3 linked regions of the Notamacropus eugenii genome follow. The protein of the gene in region 3 interacts with the protein of the main gene of each other region in a pairwise test. Links are inferred from orthologs where the notes say so. Each region holds a gene or a part of one and is shown on either strand. Other genes may lie near its edges.

Region 1 (7,402 bases), on a different chromosome or scaffold from region 3:
TGATGCATTCTACAAATATTTATTAGAACAATTTATTATTTATAAAGAACAAATATTTATTAAGAGCATACTATGTGCCAAGCACTAGGGGTACAAGTAAGAAACCAACAGTCCCCGTCTTCTAGGAGTTTGCAATCTATGTTTGTTCATTTCTAATAGATAACTATGTCTTCACTTGTATTTATGATTTTCCTAGCAAAGATGGAAAGAGATCAGTCAAACAGATGTGTTTTCCAAAAAAAGAAATAGTTCTAGGTTCCAGGAGATGTTGGGGGTAAATTTGTGGCAATACTGAGGGCTTGAACAATTGCCATGCATGTCAATCTCCACATTTTCTCTTCTTCCCTTGACTTAGAACAGATAATGATACATCTTGAAAAGAAGCAGATTTCTGTGTAGAGTGCTTCATGATGACAGTTTAAGCAACTGGAACATTTCAATTCAAAAACATTAATTAAATGCTCACTGTATACTATGCTACATGCTAAAGAAGGTAAAGAGTTTAAATAAGATATATAGAGCTTATTCCTTCAATAGAGATTACCCTATGGGGATTAGAATATGCTGTTGTTCACTTATTCAAGCATGTCAAACTCTTCATGACCTTGTAGACCATACTGCCCATAGGGTTTTCTTGGCAAAGGTAGTGGAGTGGTTTGCCATTTGTTTCTCTAGTGGATTAAGGTAAAAAGAAGTTAAGTGACTTGCCCAACTGGGTTGAGGTGGGGGTGTCACACCTATAGCCACATAACCCTAACTATCTGAGGCTGGTTGAACTCAGGTCTTCCTGACTCCAGCCCCAGCACTTTATCCACTGAGCCACCTAGCTGCCTTCTTATGATATACTCATGCAATAATTATAGTACAAAACAGTACATGCTAAGAGAGATATGGATAGATTGACATGTGAATTCCAAATGGTTGTTGGGGTAGGGAAAAGTCATTATAGGGAACGCTTCATGGAGGTCATAGTATTCAAGTTGTGCTTTGGGTAGGAATTTAAGCAGATAGAGTGCATCCTGGGTCATCTCCAGTCATCCTGATGAATATCTGGTTACTGGATTCACATGGCTCTGGAGGAGAAATGAGGCTGGTAACCTCATTCAAAACAAAGTCAAGTGCAAGTCATGTCATCATTCCTCTGATGGCATGGTCTTCTTTGGCAATGAAGGATGAACACAAGCAGGTAGAGAAAGGTGGTGAAGAAGATAGAGGCATAGTTGTGAAGCTAGAAATACCAGGAAAGTGTGGGAATCTCAAATCCCAGGAAGAAAAAGACTAACCAAAAGGAAGGCACCACCAACAGTGTCAATTGGTGCCCAGCAGTCAAGGAAGTCAACTTTTAAAAGAAGTTTAGCAGTAATTGGGAAACAGTGTGATCCTAGGCATAAAAGATGGGAAACTGAAGGATGTGTATGAGGAATGGAAAATAAGTAACATGGTTTGGCTGAAGGCTAGAGTCAATGAAGGAAGTAGCAATAAAAAGACTGAAATGTTAGGGTATCAGAGTGTGAAGGTCTTCGAATGCCTCAGGTAAAGGAGTTGGAACTTTGAGAAGAATTATCTGTTTTTCCTTTCTGTTTCCCACCCTCCCATGAATGGATCCACCCAAGTCTTCCTTTCAGAGGATCCCTAAGAGTTGCCCTAAACCCCTGCCTCAGAGGAAACTTTCCTCAAGCATCTATTTACTATGCCTTCTCCCATCATACTATGGTCTTTTTTTTGTGCCCAGGGCAATACAGGACAGTTTGGCTTCCTTTTGATCACTGCTTTTGCAAAGTTTAAACATATGCTATCAGTCTTTAAAAATAAAACAATTTTGCTGCATTTCTAACTCCAAGCTGGTAGAAATATTAGTGATTAAAAACAGAACCTCTGATTCCATATCATTCTTTTAGCCAGTGGTTGCTCTGTGGCTGAAGCCAATTGGACACAGCCAACTCCTACTTTCAGTTCAGTTGCACCTTCCCTGATGCCATGACCTCTCACAGATGTCTCTTGCTCTTCTCCTTCCTTTAGTGCGTGTAAAGGCTGGATTTCTAATCACAGTCTCCAGGCTCTCCAAAGCTCAAGTAGATAAGCAAAGGTGAACCCCTAGTTCACTTAGTTGTTCAGGTCATTCATGATTACTTTTAGTTTAAATATTTCATTTTTATCTTAATAAGAAAGATATGAAAGTATTAAAGTAGTGTGGAGAATAGATTTGAGGTGGAAGAGAGGGGGAGGCAGGACAATCTACTGGGAGGCTATTGTGATAGTACAGTGGGTGGTAATGAGAGCTCGTACCAGGGGAGGGGTGAAGCAGAGATAATATGAAGGTAGAATCAAAATAATGATAATTGAAAATGAGAGATGAGAGAGGGATGGAGAGTCAAAGAGAAGAACAAAATTTTTAATGTGAGAGATGGGGCAAATGGTGGTTCCACAGATGGAAATAGTGAGGTCAGCAGGAGGAAGAGGTTTTAGTGGAAAGTCATTGAATTTGAATTACCAGTGGAATATCTAGGTAGAGCTAGAAATATTAGTTTGGAGTTTGAGTCAGAGCCAGAGATATAAATTTGTGAGTGACTTGCACAGAATGATACTAAAAATCACAAAAGTGTTTGAGATTTCCAAGGGATGCAGTACAGAGGCAGAAAAGCAGAGGGCCCAGGGCACAGCCTTAAGAGAATGCCTATCTAAAAGGGTCAGGGTCCATTGGGGAATACCTACTTTAAAAGATGAAAACAAGAAACCAGTGACAGAAACAGAAAAAAGAATGGCTAGAGAGATGGGGGAATCAGGTGAGTGTGGTGTTCCAAAAGTCAGATAAGACAAGAGTGGTATCACACAGGAGAAATAGCAATAATGCAAATATTGTGTAGAGTCAAGGAGGATAATAAGGAAAAAAAGGCCATCAGGTTTGGCCATTTGGTGATCATTATCTTGAAAAAAGTAGTTTGAGTGGAGTGAGGGAGATGGAAACTAGATAACAAAGGGGTGAGGAAGTAGAGGCACTCCTGTAAACAACTTTTTAAACAACTTGAGCAGTGAATGGGGAGGAGAGAGATACAATGTTGGGAGCTGTACTGGGGACAAGTATTAAGTGAAGGCTTTTAAAAAAAGATCAGGTGATCTGAACTTATTTGTAGGAAGATATGAAGAAACTATTAAAAATACATGGAAGAAAGGGTTGATTTATTTTCATCCTCATGTATAGAAATATTAATACAATCCTAACAAACCATTATACAAATTATACATATCATGGATGTATATCCTTATGTACATTCTCATTTTAACAGGTTCCCTCTCTTAGCTAAGAAAACAATTCAGTAAATTCATGGAAGATAAGAATGGAAAACATTGTATGGTTAAGATTCAACTATTGCTGGGAATATATACTTCTGTTGACCTGACCTTTTATAATTATCTTGTATCCCTTCTGAGTCATTGGCATTCTCAGGAGTAGCAAGGCACTAATCCAAGTTCTGAATCCAAGGGTAGAAAATCACTCCAGAACTTTTTCAGAGTTATTTAAATTGCCTTATTGTCACCCTGAAACAGTGCAAATGGACAGGTGTTTCCTCTTTTGACGCAGGGTTGAAATCTTGTCTTTTAAGAAGATTCCAAAATTAGATTATTTCCCTAGCACATTGTAAAATAATTTTGCATTAAAGAATAGGGCCACTGGATACAAAGCACCAGATAGAATCCAAATGTTATTTTTGCTAAATGTATGTACTTTGTCTTCTTAAAGTCACTGTATTTTGTGACTGACAATGTTATTCAGATTTCTGGAAAGTAACTCATTACTTAACACTTTTGTAAGTACTTAGCATTGTAGATTTCAAGACAAAAAGGAACTAGAGGCCTTTCCAATTAGTTTTATGGTATCTAAGGATATGATACCTTTATCTATCCCTTTAGTTCATATACATACAGATTTCACTGCCTCACTGTTATACACGCAGACGTATACAAAGGCGTAGTGGCTGAAACACAACTTTCTCCCAAACCCTTGTCCATACACCAACACCGACACATTTGCATTATTCACATAAAGATGGATACATCGTCCACAGACATGCTCACGAATGCCACACAAAGCTGCTCAGCCTGCTTACAGATGATGAATAGCGCTCACAGACACAACCATATGCAAAACACATACAAACCCCTGACACTTTTAACCTTTCCTCAAGACATCGGAAGCAGAGACACAGCATACATCCAGTGTCTTGCTCACTCTCCCTTGGCTGTTATGTTTTTGTTACTGTTGTTTGCAGAGTTATTTCCCTCTTCTCGCCACCCAGCCCCCAGACCTTCTCCGAGTCACTACTGCGCATGTGCTCTGCATCCCTCCCCTTCCTGGGTACCAGTCGGGCTCTCCCCGACTCTGCCGGCGGAAGAGATGCAGTAGCGTCACGAGCGCCCAGCCCCTTAAAACGCTGCTGGCTGGAGCCACCTCCCTCCTTGCAGCCCGCTGGGGGGATGGAGTAAAGGAGACCCATCGACCCGCCAGTGGAACCGGCTATGGAATTAAAGCAATCGTTGTCCGCCCACCTGGAGGCTGAAAAGCCGCTGAGGCGCTATGGGGCCGTGGAGGAGACGGAATGGAAAGCGGAGGGACTGGGGAGAAGTGAGTACCCGGGCGGGGAGAGTGGAGCAGCCCTGCAAACACGCTGGTGGCTGCTTAAGCGCGGTAAAAGCTGGAGACCGTTCCCTGCCCGGCTGAAGAAAGCGCCCCCGCAGCGGTGCTTTTAGCTGAGGGGGGCGATGCGCAGCGCCGCGCGGGCTTAGGCTTCTAACAAAGGGGGACCGGCACGTCATTCCCGCTGGGTTGTCAATCGATGTGTCCTCGGTCCAGGGGACTTTGCAAAGACAGCCCAGCGGGAAATGGAGAGGGAACACCAATTCCTGGGCTCTGATTTGGGCTTTAGAGATCCTAGTGCAGCCTCTTTCTGATGGACCTTGAGGTGGGCTCTCTTCCTCAGTTGCAGGCAGGCAGGAGGAGAGATTAGGGGTGAAGGATGATTTTCCACCCTGATACTATGAGAACAAGTGGACCAGGAATTCCTAAGAAAGGCAGTTGTCCATGATCAGTTTTCTTGGTCGAGGGTGCATGTGAAATTCTCAGCATTCCTTCTTTTTCTCCAGACACACATGCTTACTTCACCTATTCCGGAGTGGGGAGAGGTGGCACTTGGCTCAACTAAAGGTTTTGGATTGTATGTGCTGTCACTGTATAACAGATGGGCTCTGTTTGCTAAATTTCTAAGGTTCAGTGCAAAGAGCATCTTTCTAAAGATGAAGGATTTTTTTTTGAAGGATGCAACAGTTGACACTTCTGCCCCCAGAGTCCAAAGGCGGGAGGGTGCTTCCTGAGGGCAACAGGGACACTAATCCTCCTTGCAAAAACCTAGAGAGACTCCAAGTGCCCTTCACTTTGCTTGCTTTAATGCAGCTGTTCACCAGATGTTGTGAAAAGTCATCTCCCCTCCTCATTCAGTCTGTACATTCCTGCCTTTGCTCTAGATTACCGTTCTCAGAATTAGCTATAAAGCAGGCATATATATACATATACGTATATGTATATGTATATATATATTTCCAAGCTACTGGGGGTAGAAATGGGAGTTCCATTGACACATGACATATTTGGTTTAATTTTTATTTCAGTTTTCTTGGACAGCTTTCAGTCTCAATGTGTGTGCTCTTTGCATCATCTCTGTCCAGGAGCGAATTGTGTGTTTTCACGTTTTTCCCTTCTCCGATCATTGAGATTTAGAAAGTCTTCTTAGAATGGCACAGATGTGTTCTGATTCAGGTGTATTCAGCTTGAATAGGGACTACAGGTTAATCCATGTTTGGACTGCTGAAGTTTTTTACAGTATAGCACAAGGATCTCTACTATTTAACCTCTTTCTCCCCCCGCCCCTTCCATCTTTCCGATATTCAAATGTCAAACTCTCCTTCTCACTTAATATTTCTACTGTGAGTTTTGTTGCAGTATATGTTATGAGATTACTACTGAATGTATCAATATTTCTTCAGACTCGATTGAATAGACTCCCAGGGTATGTTCATTAATTTCACAATCATGAGGAAGCTGTGGCTGCTTCAGGAGCCTGCCATGTTATGGTCTAATCAGTAGACATGGTTTTGGACCTGATAAGCTGATGTTAATTTAGATCAAACTTTTAATAGAATCTGTAGAAATGACCTGCCTTTTTCCTTTTGCACAATAACACTCTGGAGTAATACTGAGCTGTTGGTTATCACTCACATCACCTTATTGTAGCCTTTTCTTTCCCTGTGAACTTCTTAATCTTTTAGGTCACAGGCTATAAGCTGTTCAGAGCTTTTTAGATAGATTCCTTTATATGTCTTTCTTGCAGTAATCAAACCTATTCTCGTGCTTTTTAAAACTCTGCCCACAGACTCTGGTCTGTTTTTTACAGCTACCTTAAAATCCAAAGTTGGGATTTTTTTTAAACTCAAATTTGAAATCTTCTTAAGAAATTGATTTAAGACAAGCTTTGGAATCTTAGTTTGATAGCTGATAGTTTCATCTTTTGGGGTTTCATACTCTTGACTAGATAGTCTATTATAAGAGCTATTTGAGAGAAAAATAACAATAAGGAGCTCTTTGGGGATCCTTCCCACCTTCCTATATCTACGCCATCATATATAACATCTATGAAATGTATTTATATAGATTAATATGGTATGATGATTGTTATTATTGATTTCCAAAAGTATAAACACCAAACTGATGTAAGGATCTGACATTTGATGTTGAGGTGCTTTTTTATTTGCATAATGTAATGGAAATGTAGACCCAAGGTAATGATTCATTTGCCTTTTAATAGGAGAAAGAGCTCTCTGTTAATGGAATCTCTACATATTTAAATTAATTTTGTTAAACACTAAGCATGTGCTTAATTAAAAGATAACATAAAAGAGAAAAAGACCAGAGGGCTGTTTTTTTTTCTTTTTGGTGAGGTAGGATTGTATAAAATTCTCTTATTAAATGTCTTTAGCAACAATAATAATGAGAAGCTGAATATCTAATTATTCAGAGCAGAAAAATATTTGAGGACTTTAAACCAGATTTTCAAGTCCTAGCTTCTACATATTCCAGTCTCTTCTTCTATATAACTGGAAAAAATAGCTCTACTTTCCTCATAGGAAATTGCTTTGAATCTGTAGAAAGAGTTTCATGGGGAAAATACTTTGGTTTTTAAAAAAATCCGGATCTTTCCTCTAATCACTTTCCTCTGTTGTTGAGACTCATCTTTTGGATTTGAACTGGGCTTTTAAGAGTGGGTAGAATTTAGATAGAAGGAGAGGAGGGGGAAGGGCATTCCAGGTGGGTGGAAAAGCATCAGAGAAAGCATGGAGGTGGGGAAGAGCATGC
Region 2 (7,154 bases), on a different chromosome or scaffold from region 3:
AGTCCTCTAGAGACATCTATGTAAATATATAAATCAGGACGACTAGAGATGGCCCCCAGTATTCATCTAGGACTCAATGCTGCCATTACTCAAAACATGCCTAGAATACCTCTTTGGTAATCGAGGCCACCCAAAGTAGTCCATCAGTCAAACAGCCTTAGCCTTTATAATTAGCACCATTTTATGTTTAATATGAAATGTATATGTAGAGCTTAAATCACACTGCGTGCAGTCTTGGGGAGGGGAAAGAAAAGGAAGGGAGAGAAAATTTAAAACTCAAAAGCTTGTGGAACTGCATGTTGAAAACTAAAAATAACTTTTAAAAAAGAAAAAGCTTTGTAAATGTTAAGGTGCTCTATGTAAAAGTGGGAGGTCAAAATGAATGGATTATCCAATCAACCCATCCCACTTAAAATGAAAACCTTACTCAATGAAAAAACAAGTGAAATCAACTTGGAGTACAATGCCTCAAAGCCTTTAATAAAATGTTAAACAGAAAATTTAAAAAAATAATAATAATTAGCACCATTTTGTACCAAATAAGTTTTAGTTATTTACAAAAATCAGATCTAAGAATATTTGGAAGTTTGCTTTGACTCCTTCTCCAGCTTCTTACATACCCTATCTTGGGTGGATTGGCATTTTCTGATTTGCACAACGTAGCTACTTCTCTGTTAAGGCTGAACTACTGGAAATTTGGAACTCAAAAGACAGTATTTAACTCTTCTGGGTAAAGAATTTCTTTAAGGATGAAGATTTACCATCATCAGGAACATTTGAAATAACATGAAGCAGAAGCAAAAAGCAATGGCAAAATAGGATTTCCAAGATGTTTTAAGCAATGGTGTCATCACTGGAATAAATGCCTTTCTCTGGTACAATGATTTGGTAGTGCAGAGTTCGGATGCAATTTGTTAAAAAAAAAAAAAATCACTACTCCCCTCCCCACCCAATAGAATGCAAGTTCCTTTGAGGGACAGGCTGGTTTTCTCCACATTCCTAGTGCAGAGCATAGTGCCTTGCCATAGCACCAGAACTGCCCTCACTGGCCACTACATAATCATTTTTTTAAAGCCGAAGGTGCAGGCAATTCAGAGGGCCTTGGCAAAGGGTACATAATAAGTACACGTTTGTCTTTTTCTCCTAAGTTTGGCTTTACTTTGTCCCTTATTTTGTATGCTTGTTTGATTATTAATGAAATAATTCTAAGAATTCACTGAGGAAAAGCATAAATGTGCCCATCCTGAAAATTCACATGGAAGGTTCCTCTTCTCTGGGACGTGGAAATATCTGCCTGCCCATTCCTCCAGCCTGAGCTTTTTCCCTTGCTCCCTTCACTCAATACACAGGCAAGCCTTTTTAGCCTGACATGAAAAAAGTTTTTGGCAAAGCTAAAAGCTACAGTCAAACCCTGGTGGGAAGGGGAAGAAGAAAGAGAACAGGGCTGCTCCAGGTAAGGAACATTTTACCCACAAGGGTTAAACGCTATCTTTTGAGTTCCAGATTTCCACTAGTTCCAGCCTTAACACAGAAGTAGCTATGTCGTGCAAAGGGAGAATGCCTAGCCACCGAGAGGGTGTGTAAGCAGTCGCAAAGGGAGTAAAAGCGAACTTCCAAAAATAGGTGTCGCCAACCAAGCGAATCCTCACCCCCGCAGAGGCTGTAGACACGTGCTCTTAACTCCTTCATGTCGGAGGTGTACGGAACCAGGGGCAGCCAGGGGCGGCAGAGGGAGCTAGACAGGATCGGGGCACCGGAGTGCTACCTCCTCCACCCCCATCCCACCCTCACTAACGTGCAGCCCCAGCCAGCCTCCCTGGAGCTGGACACACGCACACGAACCCAGAACCTGCGAGGGCTGAACCGCGTGCACGCACATTCGCCAGACTGAAACTCACACACACACACGAGCAGAACCTGTGCGGATGAAACGTACACACACCCAAGATTAAAACACACACACAACCTAGAACCTGCACACACACACACACACACACGAGCAGAACCTGTGCGGATGAAACGTACACACACCCAAGATTAAAACACACACACAACCTAGAACCTGCACACACACACACACACACGAGCAGAACCTGTGCGGATGAAACGTACATACACCCAAGATTAAAACACACACATAAAACCAGAACCTACACACATACACACACTAGACTGAAGAATACACAACCAGAATCTCTGCAGATTGAAACGTACACACACCCCAGACTGAAACTCACACACAACCTAGAACCTGCACACACACACACACACACACACTCGAAAACTGTGAAAAAACACACTGGACAGAAAACACACGTACCCGGTGTAGAACCTCCATACGTTCTACACATCGCCTCGGGCAGGGAGGGGGGAAGAGGAGGGGGAGGGGGGAAATCTACGATACGTGGAAGTGGCTGTACAGCACTGAAAACAAAACAAATAATTTTTTAAACAGGAAAAAAGAAAACAGACACAAAGGCAGCACCTCTTCCGGCCTGGCCTCAGTTTACCCACTTGTCCCACGGCCCAGCCTCCCACGTGCCGGGGGCTGCCCAGCCGTGCCCCGACAGCGCGGCCTGGCCCGGAGTCCGCGGCCCGGGGGGAGGGAAGCCCGCTGGGCCTCAGTTTCCTCCTCTGTAAAATGAGCGGGTCCGTACCAGACGGCCTCGGGGCCACGGGGCTAGGACGCCGCCAAGGTTAAAAGCTCAGGGAGGCCGAGGCCGAGGCCCAGCCGGTGTCCCATACCCCCCACCCCCACCCCGGCCCCGCCGGACGGACGGACGGCCCCTGCGGGGGCGGGTCCGAGGCACCCACCTTGAGCTGAGACTTGGAGACTTTGCCGCTGCGGTCCAGGTCGAGCGCGGTGAAGGCGTGCCAGATGGCCTTGAGCAGCTCCTCCTTGAGGCCCCCCATGGCGTGGCCTTGGCCGCGGCCGCGAGCCCCCGATCCCACCAGCGCGGAGCACCCAGCCGCCTCCGACACTGCCCCCGGGCACGGCTGCACCTCCGCCGCCGCCGCCCGCCGGCTCGCTGGCTCCCCAGCCCGCCCGGTCACCTGACCCTCGCCCCGCCCCGCCCCATCTCCGTGCCGGGGAGGAGGCGGGGGCGTGCGGAGGCGCCAGGGGCGGGGTCTGGGCCCAGGGGCGGGGCCCGACCTCGGTTCCGCCCACGGCTCCCGGAGCAAAGCCTTCGGCGCGCGCTGCACGCCGGCCCGGGCTCCCTGAGGCCCCGCCCCCAGACCTAGGCGAGCGTCCGAGTATCCCAGCAGAGCCCGTCGGGAAGCTCGACCCTCCCCACCCAGGGAAGCTTTGCCCCCTGGTTACACCCGGACTGGGTCGGAAGAATGCGAAGCAGAAAGGCCAGCCTCGGGCTGCGGCTGTGTGACCCTGGGCTAGCCGGCCCCGTTTTCTTCCCCTGGAAAGGGGGGCACGGGGATGGCGCCTGCCCCCCCGGGTCCCTGTGAGGGTCCCTGGTGTCTGTCTATGCTCGTCCTTCGTCTCCAAGAAGACCGGGCCGTCACAGGGATGATGACGTGACCTGCGCTGGCTTTGCTTTGAGGGAGGCAGGGCTGCGCAGGTCACCCACCTCACCTGTCCTCCTGAGCCTTCAGGGGTTCATCAGGACGACTGGAGGTGGCCCAGGGCGATGGGAGACCCCGGCCTCACTTAGATTCGGTGAATCAGCCTCTCTAAGAAGTAACAGGGAATGGCCCCTTCAATGAGCCGAAGAAAGGGGGCGCTTAATCAAGGATTCCTTCCTTTAAAGCCTGCTTTTAAATTGGTATGATAAAGTACATGGGATTACAAAGGAAACCAACTCTACTGAAGTTATCAAGGTATTTTGTAAGCAGTTCACGAGGCTCAGGCTAGGAACCCCTGCTTTGTACAAAGACGTCTAGTAAGGCGAACCCCCTACCTCCTAGAGCGGCCCCTGACACTTCCATGCAGCTGGAAGGTTCTCCTGCACCGTTAGGTTTTTTGTGTTTTCCTGTTTTTTTTTCTGACATGGAGCCTAAATCTGCCTGTCTACAACATCGTCTCCCCCCCCCCCCCCCATTTGTCCCTTTGATGCCAAGAAAGAAAAATATAATCCCTCTTCCCCAGAGAAGCTGGGGGGTCACAAGATCATCGATTTAACGTTTAGATGCCATCTGGTCAATGAATCCCTTTCTTTTGACAGGTGAGGATAATGAGGCCCAGCTAGCTTATGAGTCTTACCTAAATTCTGCCTCTCCCCAGGCCCCAGCACACAGGACAATGTTACAAACTGCCAAAGTAGTCCTGAGCTTTCCCCAGACAGTCTTTAGAATTCCACAGGGTGCAACAAAGTAACATTTGTTGAAGTTGAACTGAAAGATAGCTTTGGGAGAAGTCTTCACTTCTTTTCTCCCTGGGTGGATGCTATAAATGTTTAGGATTTCCTAGGACTGATTTCACCGTGGTCTAAGCTGAATTGTTGAATCTGGAGTCAAAAAAGCATTGGGTGCGTCCAGTCCTAAGTCTGCCCTTCGTTAGTTGTATAACTTAACCTTAGGTCTCAGCTCATCTGAAGGTTTTCTATAAATGCCAAGTCCTATTTTGTTCTGTTTAACAGTAATCGATGCTATCCGAAGCTGAAATGGAGTTGCCTCCAGACTGAGTGAGTCTTCACTGGGGGTCTTCAAGAGATGCTTCCTGGCCACTTGTTGGGGATTTTGTAGAAAGGAGTCTTGTGCTGGAGATACCATCTGGGGACCTTTCCAACTGCATGAACATTTAGCAAGAAAATATTTGAGTGCCTGTACCTCCATCCCCAGGAGGTCTCAGACAGAAGGTTCCCACATCCATCTCCATGTTCACAGCAGCACTTTGGAAACAAAGTGAATGTCCATCGAAAGGGGAATAACTAAACAAATCATGGTGTGTGGATGGAATGATTGCTATAAGAATAGCAGAGAATATGAAGTTAGGCAGAATAAGGGATGCGGAACCAGCGAAGCAATATATACCACGTCTACAACAATATAAGTGGGAAAAAAAGAAAAATGGAAGAAAGCTAAATGCTGATAATAACTGATATTAGCCCTGAAGAAGAGATGAGAAGGTCCACCTTCCTCCTTTCACTGCACAGGTGGGAGGCTACAGGTGCACAATGTGGTATACTTTGTCAGGGGTGATTGATGAGGGCCTTGGTTTTGCTTAACTTTTTTTTTCTTTAAGAAGAGAGTGAATGGGGAAAGGGGAAAATATGATGAAAAAGATAAAGGGTATCATGAATAGTTTTTAAAAAAATAAAGGAATATTGATAAATATAGTTATGCCAAATAAGGGAAAGATGTAGGGGGAGGAATGAGCAAGTTATAAATTTGGGCAGACTAGGGAAGGTTTCATAAAAGAGGCTAGTCTTCAGGGTTTTGAAAAAACTGTTATTTTTGACCACAACTTTCAAAGTCCTTTTCTTTCATAATCTCCTACTGTTAATGAAAAGGATGTGTTGCTCGTAGCCCTGGGAAAATTACATATGTCTTCTATTGAGTATAGTCACAGGCTTCTTGTGCTTCTGCAAAATGAGATGCAGGGAGAGTCAGAGCCCTAGAAGTGTTAAGCCTAGAAAGATCCTCAGAGATCATTTAGGACATTCTACAGAAGAAACTGGTCCAGAGAAGGGAAGGAACTTACCCAGGGTCACACAGGAAATAGTAGGGCTAGGCTTCCAATCTATGTCTCCTGACTGATCCTAGAGTACTTCCCCCTCTATCATGCTGCCTTTCATAAAAGGGACCATCAGTGGTCCTAGAAGTGATTTGAGAGTCTGACTGGATGAGTGTGACGCACTCATTCCTCTAGAAGAGGAAATTGATGATTACTCCAACCATCCTGTATGACCGGAGGTAACTAGATGGAGAAGCAGATAGAGTGCTGCTGGAGTCAGGAAGACCTGAGCTCAAATTTGTCTTCAGACACTCACCAGCAATGTAACTCTGAGCAAGTCACATAACCTCTGTCTGCCTCAGTTTCTTCAGCGGTAAAATGGAGATAATAATAGCACCTCCCTCCTGGGACTGTTGTGAGGAAAAAGTGAGGCAATATTTGTGAAGTACTTTGCAGACTTTAATGCACCATATAAATACTAGTTATTCTATCAGCACTCGGCACAGGGTATGGTGTGAACAAGTATTCAATCAGTGTTTGAAGACACTTACTAGCTGTGTGACCCTGGGCAAGTCACTTAATTCAGTTTGCCTCAGTTTCCTCATCTTCTAAAATGAACTGGAGAAGGAAATGGCAAACCAGTCCAGTATCTTTGCCAAGAAAACCCCAAATGGGGTCACGAAGAGTAGGACATGACTGCAGTGACCCACAACAACAAATGAAGATGATGATGATGATAACAGGGACAATTGTAATTCCAGATTCCCAATGTGGTGGAATTCCCAATGTGGTACAAAGAATCAGAAGAGCTGCAGTTTGGAATGGGATATTTACTAGTTCTGTGTCTTTGAGCCTCAGTTTCCTTATCTGTAAAAAAAAACACTTTGCCCTGTCACCTTCACAAGGTTGCTATGAGGACTAAAGGAAATGATATTTGGGAAATTAGAAAGAACTGTATGTATATGAAGCAGGGAATCAGAGGATCTGGGTTTAACCAAACTCACTCAGAGTTCTGCCCCCAGCCTGCTAATTAACTCTTTACCACATTTAGTCTCATCATCATACGAGAGTTCTACAAATTCTAGGGTATCCAGGAGTATGTTTTGGTATTTCTTCATAAACTGCTAAAATTTAAACCTCTCTTACTCTCAGTTAAGGTCAGAATGCCCACTTATGTTTTGGTATTTCTTCATAAACTGCTAAAATTTAAACCTCTCTTACTCTCAGTTAAGGTCAGAATGCCCACTCTAGCTCATCAGATATTATTTATTCAGTGAAAATAGGACCTGGAGGAGGAAACTCTCTCTACCAATGCAGGTCAATACCTTCTCTTCAAGTTAAAGCCTTAGAAAGTTGCCTAGAGTATTGATACATTAAATAACTTGCCTGGTGTCATAGAGTTAATACAAGGCAGAGACAGGACTTCAGTCCAGGCCATTTGGACTCTCTGTCCATCATAACATAATTCTTTTCCAGGCCCAGGTAACCTCACCTCTTTCATACATGGAAAAGATTGACAGATTTA
Region 3 (6,948 bases):
CATCTACTTAGGTAAGACAGATGCAAAGCAACTACATACAAAGCATCTTTTAAAATGAAAACATTAATATTTAAAGAATTCATCAGCTGGCTAGAAAAGATTGCAACATTCTTGACACACCAGGATGGCTAAGTTGTCTGGTTTAGCCTGTGATCTCTCTTGACATTTAAATATGCCAGTCAACTGAGACACTGCAGGTTATGTGTCTACAACCAAGAACAAGAAAAAAGACTATAAACTCCTTCGTGGATATAACTAGATTCTGTATCGATAGTCATATGCATTATTCATTACTAACTATATGACCACATCAAGACACAGTTCCTTCTAGAAATAGTGAGCAAAATGCAAAGTAGTCATTGCTGTCACAAACTAATACCATCTTATACTTCTATTGCATTAGGCTTTACAAAGTGACTTCATGTACACTGGCTCATTGGATCCTTCAGCATCCCTGAAGGATAAGCAGGGCAGATATTAATATCCCCATTTTACAGATACCACTAATAATAACTGTCTTTGGTGTTTATACATGGCTTCAAGGTATGCAAAGCATTTCCCATACCTTAATTCATTTGATCTTGACTACAACTCTGTAAGGTTTTCTCATCTCTAAAATGGGGATAATACCTGTAGTACTTACCTCATCATTATATTCTCCCGGGGAGGTAAGTACTACAGGTATTATTATCCCCATTTTACAGATGAGGAAACTGAGGCGCTGAGATTTTAAGTGACTTGCCCATGGTCACACAGCTAGGAAGTGTCAGAGGTGGGATTCAAACCCAGGTCTCTCCTGACTCCGAGTCCAGCACTCTATCCACTACACCACGCTGCCTCTCAGGAAGCTTAGGCAGACAGTGGTGAACTGACTTGCCCAAAATCACATCCTGCGTTATTACAGTACTGGTGCTAGAACCCTGGTCTCCAGCTTTATATATAGCCTATTGCTGTTTTCACTATACCCCAAAGAGAAACTCTTTAACATTGCTTAAGTAATTAAACACTAAAGGTTTCTTTTAATTTGCAGATTTTTAACCATTGTGACTGATGACAGATTAGTTAATAATAGCTCTATATTTTAAAAATCAAATTTCAAACAGTTTCAGTAGGACAGAAACATTACAAAAAGGACCAGCTCAAAAACAGATCAGTTAAGTGCTGACTTTTCTATATGATTTTATCATAGGAAAATGCTGGCAAAAAGGTTCCCGGTGAATTATTAGCCATCATAAACATGCAAAGAGATTATATATTAAACCTTAGGGCAAATGGAAAAATAAAGTTTATTATTTTAAGAAACATTTCATTACAAAGCATTAATAATTAGATAATTTATAGATGCATTAAGCATAGGAGCCAGGTTTTCTATTTTTAAAACCATTTTTCATAAACAATTAAATTCAGATTACTCTCCACATTAGTAGACTATTCATTTTAAAATGCTCCTAGTTCCAAGAAATAATTTTGTATGATTTAACTGTCACTGAAATCTTCTTGCTATTTATTGCACGTAACTTCTCTGATATTAGTACATATTGTTTTAGACATAAATAGGGGCACCCTTTGCCAAAAATCTTGCTAGTATATGACAAATGAAAGTCAGACTTTTCCCTAAATGTCTGTCAGCTATATGAGATTTTTTAAAAAAGACACAGTATTCCTCTTTCTCCAAACTGCTTAAATCTTCTACAAACTTCTATCATTTTGGAGCATACAATCTATATGTCAGATTTCTGATTTCTAATTGGTTACAAATATGATCATTGTAAAGGTTTCAATATGGCAGAAAGTAATATTTCACACAACTATAAATAGAGATGTTATGCAGATAGCAACATGACATTGAAATATTCCCCACCAGGACTATCTCAAACTCTAAAATTCGAAATGGTTTTCTCTGTGAGATCCCTTGCTTAGATTTTAATTCCAAGCACAGTTCAGATGCAGCACCTTTTAATCAGGGTAATAAACTATGATGTCTTACATACTGTGTAATGTTTACTGTTAAACCCACAATCTGGTCAAACACAAAATTATCTTGTCATCGCCTGGGAAAATTACACCCCCACCCTGAATACACACACACGCACAGAATCCCTGTTAATGGAACTGTACTTAGAAGTTAAAATGAACTGGCTGTTTGCTTGTTTATGTGACAAAAGGAAAGGTATCCCTTTTCCGGAATGGCCAACAAACCCAAAACACACAAACAAAAAACCCAAAGTAGCCAGGCGGCCTCATGACCTATCTAATGTACAAACCTTGAGGAGACCACTGGGAATAAATATGCAAAATGGTTTGAAGTTTTCAACTGGGCCCCAATACTTTGATTCACAGAGCAAGAAAAGAATCGCTAGGCTGCCTTATCTGTTACCCCAAACCTCAGATAGAAGTTAAGAAAAACGCCCCCTCCCCCTTGGTCCAAACTGCCAGGCAAATATCAGATTTTACCCCTCTGCCTTCCTGCACTAATAGAAGTGGGGTTCGCCAAAGGGCAGCTTCGAGACAGCTGTTGAAGGACAGAGAGGGTCTAGCCAGAGGATTTGCGGTGGTATGTTTTTTGTTTGTTTGTTTTTTTAACATAACCACATTTCATTTTCTATCCCCACGTGTATGGTTACTCCAGCGGGGTGGGTGAGAGTATCTCTCCTAACATCCCCTAGGGAGATTCTGGGCCACGGTCCCTCCCCTTGCACTCCCCCCAATTCCTCCTCCGCCATCCCCTCTTCTTCCTGGGCATCTTGAGGGCTCTCTGATTGCTCTTCGTCTCCAAAGAAGCAGGTGCTGGTGCTGGGGAGGGAGGCACGGGATGCAGAGATGCCCGGCACCGCAATGCAACCAGCAGCTCCTTACTGCCGCTGCAGCAGCTTGGGATGGAGGGGAGGCGGGGGCGAGGTTGGGGGGAAACGGGGCGTTGGGGGGTGGGGAAGAGTTCTTGTGATACCTTTTATCCAGGCAGGCGATCCACTCTGCGGAGGAGGAAGAATGGGCAGCGTGCGCAGCGACCATGTTGGGCTGTCAGAGGGAGCCAGTCAGCCACCTCCCTTGTGTCTCAGTGCCTTTGCTCTCCAGCTGGCTTTCCTCTCTACCCACTGCACCACCACCACCTCCTTCCTCTCTTCCTCTCACCCAGAGAGCAGCAAGCAGTAGGTTCCTCTACATCCCTCTCCCTCCCCCCCACCCCAGTTCCTCCCTCTCAGCCTGGCTCCTGCGGCCTTCAGGCAGAGGAGCGGGAGACTGCCGGGTGGGGGCTGGCGAAGCGGGAAGCAGCTCAGACGGCTGACCTCGAAACCCCTGCCCCAGCTCCCCGGGCTCCCGGGCTCCCGGGCTCCCAGGCTCCCGGGTCCCCGGGCTGGGGCTGAGCAGCAGAGGGCAGTGGCGGCTTCAGGGCAGAGCAGACCGCACTGCGGGTCCCAGGTGTGTCTCCTCGCCTGGAGCAGGCAGGGAGTGAGGAGCTTCGCAGTCCCCCCAGGCTAGGTGGCTGCTGTGCGACAGGTGGCCGGGCCAGGGGGATTGGCTCGCTCCCTAGCTCGCTTGCTCTTCTCCCACCTGGCTCTCACTGGCGCCAGCCCGGCCCGCAGCTCGGTGCAATGGTTTGAGGGGAATGTGGGAGGGGAGGCGAGGGGGGCGGGGGGAGAGAGATGTGTTGTCAGTGTCATTATTTTTCATACGGCATCTGCCACTAAAATGGCTGCTGCCTCTGTGTTTCCTTAGAAACCGATTAATCTTCCTCAGCAGCTGTCAAAACTTGCTGGCGTTTCCTCCTCACCTTTCTTTTCATTTCTCTCCTCTGGAAAGGATGAAGGGAAGAGGGGAGGGGACAAGAAAAAGTCTCCGCTAGAACAGCTCCAATGGCAACAAGTTCCCTGTCAGCTGGGTCCTGGAAAGATACCAATTAGAGGACGTGGGCCAGAGGTGGGGAGAACTGCTTGGCATTTCAGGTATTGACCAAGGCCTGGGAGGTGAATGGAGAGAGCACTGTAGCCTAATCCCCAAACCAAGGCCTGGAGATGCAGCATGTGGAACTGGGAGAAGAAGGAAAAACAGAGATTGCTGTCACATTTGATTGGAGAAAACCTTGAATTCAGATGAAGCCGCACAAAGAAAGTTCTCTTGGAGGGAGAAGTGGAAAGGAGGGCTGCCATCAGAATAGAGGTGTGGGTAGTTCTGTTGAAAAAACTGTTCCAGAGATAACAACACCTGCCTACTCACTTCCAGCTCCTACACCCCCATCTGCAAACCAAACCCAAAACCTAAGGTGGACTGTGTCATAAAGGCTTATTCATTTTAAGAGTCAACAAACAATAAGCAATGTAGAAATTATCCAGTAAGATTCTACCAGAGGAGAAAAACTAGTTCTCTGACTTGCTCAAGAATTCTGAGACTCATTAAATCTTTTGATTATCACAATGGCTGTGTTAGTGAATTACTCAATAAAAGTTCAGGGGACCAGAGTCACAGCCATGGTCCCTCTCTTCTGCTTTTAAAGAAACAAAGCAGAGAGAAAGCTCTTGGAATGTTTTTACTCCCCTAGAAGTGACAGCATATTAAAACACCCCAGAAAGTATTCTGTTTATCCTCAAACCACCTTATCTCAGGATATGATTACAAGATTATCAAGTGGACTTCCCTCCTCGTAGTTTGTCCTTTGGATCCCCGTTGAACTTCCTTGGTTAAATTCTCCAACTTTTTTCAAGGTAATGGAGACTACTGAAAACACGGCCTAGAAATTATCATGCCAAAATATTTCCAGTGGTCACATTTTTTATATGATAAATATGAGAAAAACAGTTGACTCATATCCTTTCTTATGTAGCCTGATTTATTTAATGGTCTCAGGGTTCTTGAAAATACATAGAAGGATAACAGATGCCTACTCAGATTGTCTTACTCAAAAGATGGTGATAATGAGAGTCACAAGGAGAACAGTCTTCTCCTTAATTATAAGCAAAGTTTATGCCAATATTTCCTATCATCACTTATACAAAAAGGGAGTACATCCAGCCTAAAATAATTCAAGGTGTGGGTAAGTAGACAGTTTTGTGAGTATGAGTGTGAGATTTGTAACAGCAATAAACCTTGAACTTACTGAAAATTAGAATACTCACGTATACCATTGTGAGTTTTGCTGGTTCACTCAATTCAGAGCATTGCTACAAAGGGTTTACTACTGAGATAATAGAGATGAAAAACCATATTCACAGAGTCTCAGGGTTGGTCAAAAGTCATCTAGTCCGTCTCGTACAGGAATGAATGAACAAGAATCCCCTCTTAATCCTCTATAAGATATCCAACAAGGCCATTCACTCTTTGTTTGAATATTTCCTATGTGAAGGACCCATTCTCTCTCAAGGTAATTCATTGCATTTTCATTTAGCTGTAAATATTAGGAAATTTTTCTTTACTATCAACCCTAAATTTGCCTCTTTTGTAACTCTGTTCCCCATCCCTGATCTTAATTCAGTCCTCTGGGATTAAACAGACCAAATCGAATGACTTTTCATATGACGAATGGAAATACTTGAAGACAGGTATCATATCCAATATGTCTTCTCTTCCCTTTGCTAAACATCCTCAGTTTATTAAATGGATATGCATATGGCCTACAGGAACTCTCTGGCACCATTCAGGCTAATCTGTTCTGAATATTCTCCAACTTAGGTCGTACATGTAGTTTGTGGCATATATAGATATGCAGGCTTCAGAAAGGAAATAGGGAACACCAGATTAATCTTGCAGAATCGGGCACCTCCACTTCATAAATGAGTGAGTGAGTAATAAGGAATTTTCCTTCCTAAAATGTGGTTAAAGGACTGAATACAATACTACCAATGTGATATAAACCTCTCCTCATCCTGGCTAATACATATCCATCAATACAAGTCTAAGTTCATGTTTTGGGGAGGGGAAGAATTTTTCTACCATATGTCGTTGGTTGACTCATCTTGAACTAGCAATTCAGTAAAGTTCCCAGTTATTTTTAGAGATGTTTCTTCCTTGCCTTACCCCATCCATGTTGTATTTATCAAGTTGATTCAAGAAATTGTGTCTTGCTTTCAATAATCCCAAGCAACTCTTTAATGCTGAAACACATGTTTTTAACATTAATATTTTCCCAGTGATGCTTATGAATGCAAATCATGAAGTACTATAATTTCAAAAGCAAAATTGCGTTAGACCCGAAGGCCAAAGGAGAGATATAAGATAGGTATAAGTAGGTTGCAACATGTTAGCAAGGATGATTTGTGTACACTTGTGAAAGAAATAAGATCACTGATATCACTGGAAGGGACTATGGAGATCATTGATTCCATGACAAAACTGAAACCCAAAGAGACTGATGGGCTTTCTCAATGTCAGAAAGTTAGTGATAAAAAGCAGAACCACATCCCAGGTCCTCTGACTCCAAATCTGCAGCTCTTTCCTTCCTACCTCTGGTCTAATAAACTAATAAATTCATGTATGATTACAGAGTCCATCCTGCAAGGGATCTTGGAACAAAGAAGATCTGGGCTGGGAGGTATCTTGGAACATAAAAAAGCTATTAAAGTTAGAAGAAATCTTAGAACAGAGAATGTCAAAGTCAACAGATGACCTAGAGATTGTTTAATTCAATGCTCTCATCTCACAGATGGGTATATTGAAGCTCAAGCCAGTTAAGTGTCAACGCAAAGTCACCACGCTAGTGAACAGAATCATCTTTACTGACTCCCAAACCCACACTCTTTCTACCCAAGTAACTTGCTCAAATCAGGTGTGACTAACATCAATCATTCAACAAGTATTAAATTAGCATTTTCTTATTAATACCTACTTCCTGAATTTAGAGTTATCTGTACCAGTGATACAAGGATACAATGACAGTGATAGAGATACAATGACAAAAATGAAATGGTCTCTAACCTCAAGGGCCTCTTTATATACTATTAAGGAGGACTATGTACA

What was found.
Region 1: the proteins of RAPGEF4 (region 3) and BMERB1 interact in binary tests that used the Homo sapiens proteins (3 or more experiments, as listed by UniProt). The link is inferred for Notamacropus eugenii from reciprocal best matches to the Homo sapiens genes RAPGEF4 and BMERB1.
Region 2: the proteins of RAPGEF4 (region 3) and SWAP70 interact in a two-hybrid assay, tested with the Homo sapiens proteins (2 studies listed by BioGRID and IntAct). The link is inferred for Notamacropus eugenii from reciprocal best matches to the Homo sapiens genes RAPGEF4 and SWAP70.

The regions. Positions count from the first base shown.
Region 1 is NC_092872.1:95,857,678-95,865,079, forward strand, and holds the start of BMERB1 (bMERB domain-containing protein 1), read left to right. Parts: upstream 1-4,359; 5' UTR 4,360-4,515; coding exon 4,516-4,621; intron 4,622-7,402.
Region 2 is NC_092877.1:35,808,191-35,815,344, forward strand, and holds the start of SWAP70 (switch-associated protein 70), read right to left. Parts: upstream 3,063-7,154; 5' UTR 2,914-3,062; coding exon 2,815-2,913; intron 1-2,814.
Region 3 is NC_092876.1:234,643,387-234,650,334, reverse strand, and holds the start of RAPGEF4 (rap guanine nucleotide exchange factor 4), read right to left. Parts: upstream 3,112-6,948; 5' UTR 3,013-3,111; coding exon 2,948-3,012; intron 1-2,947.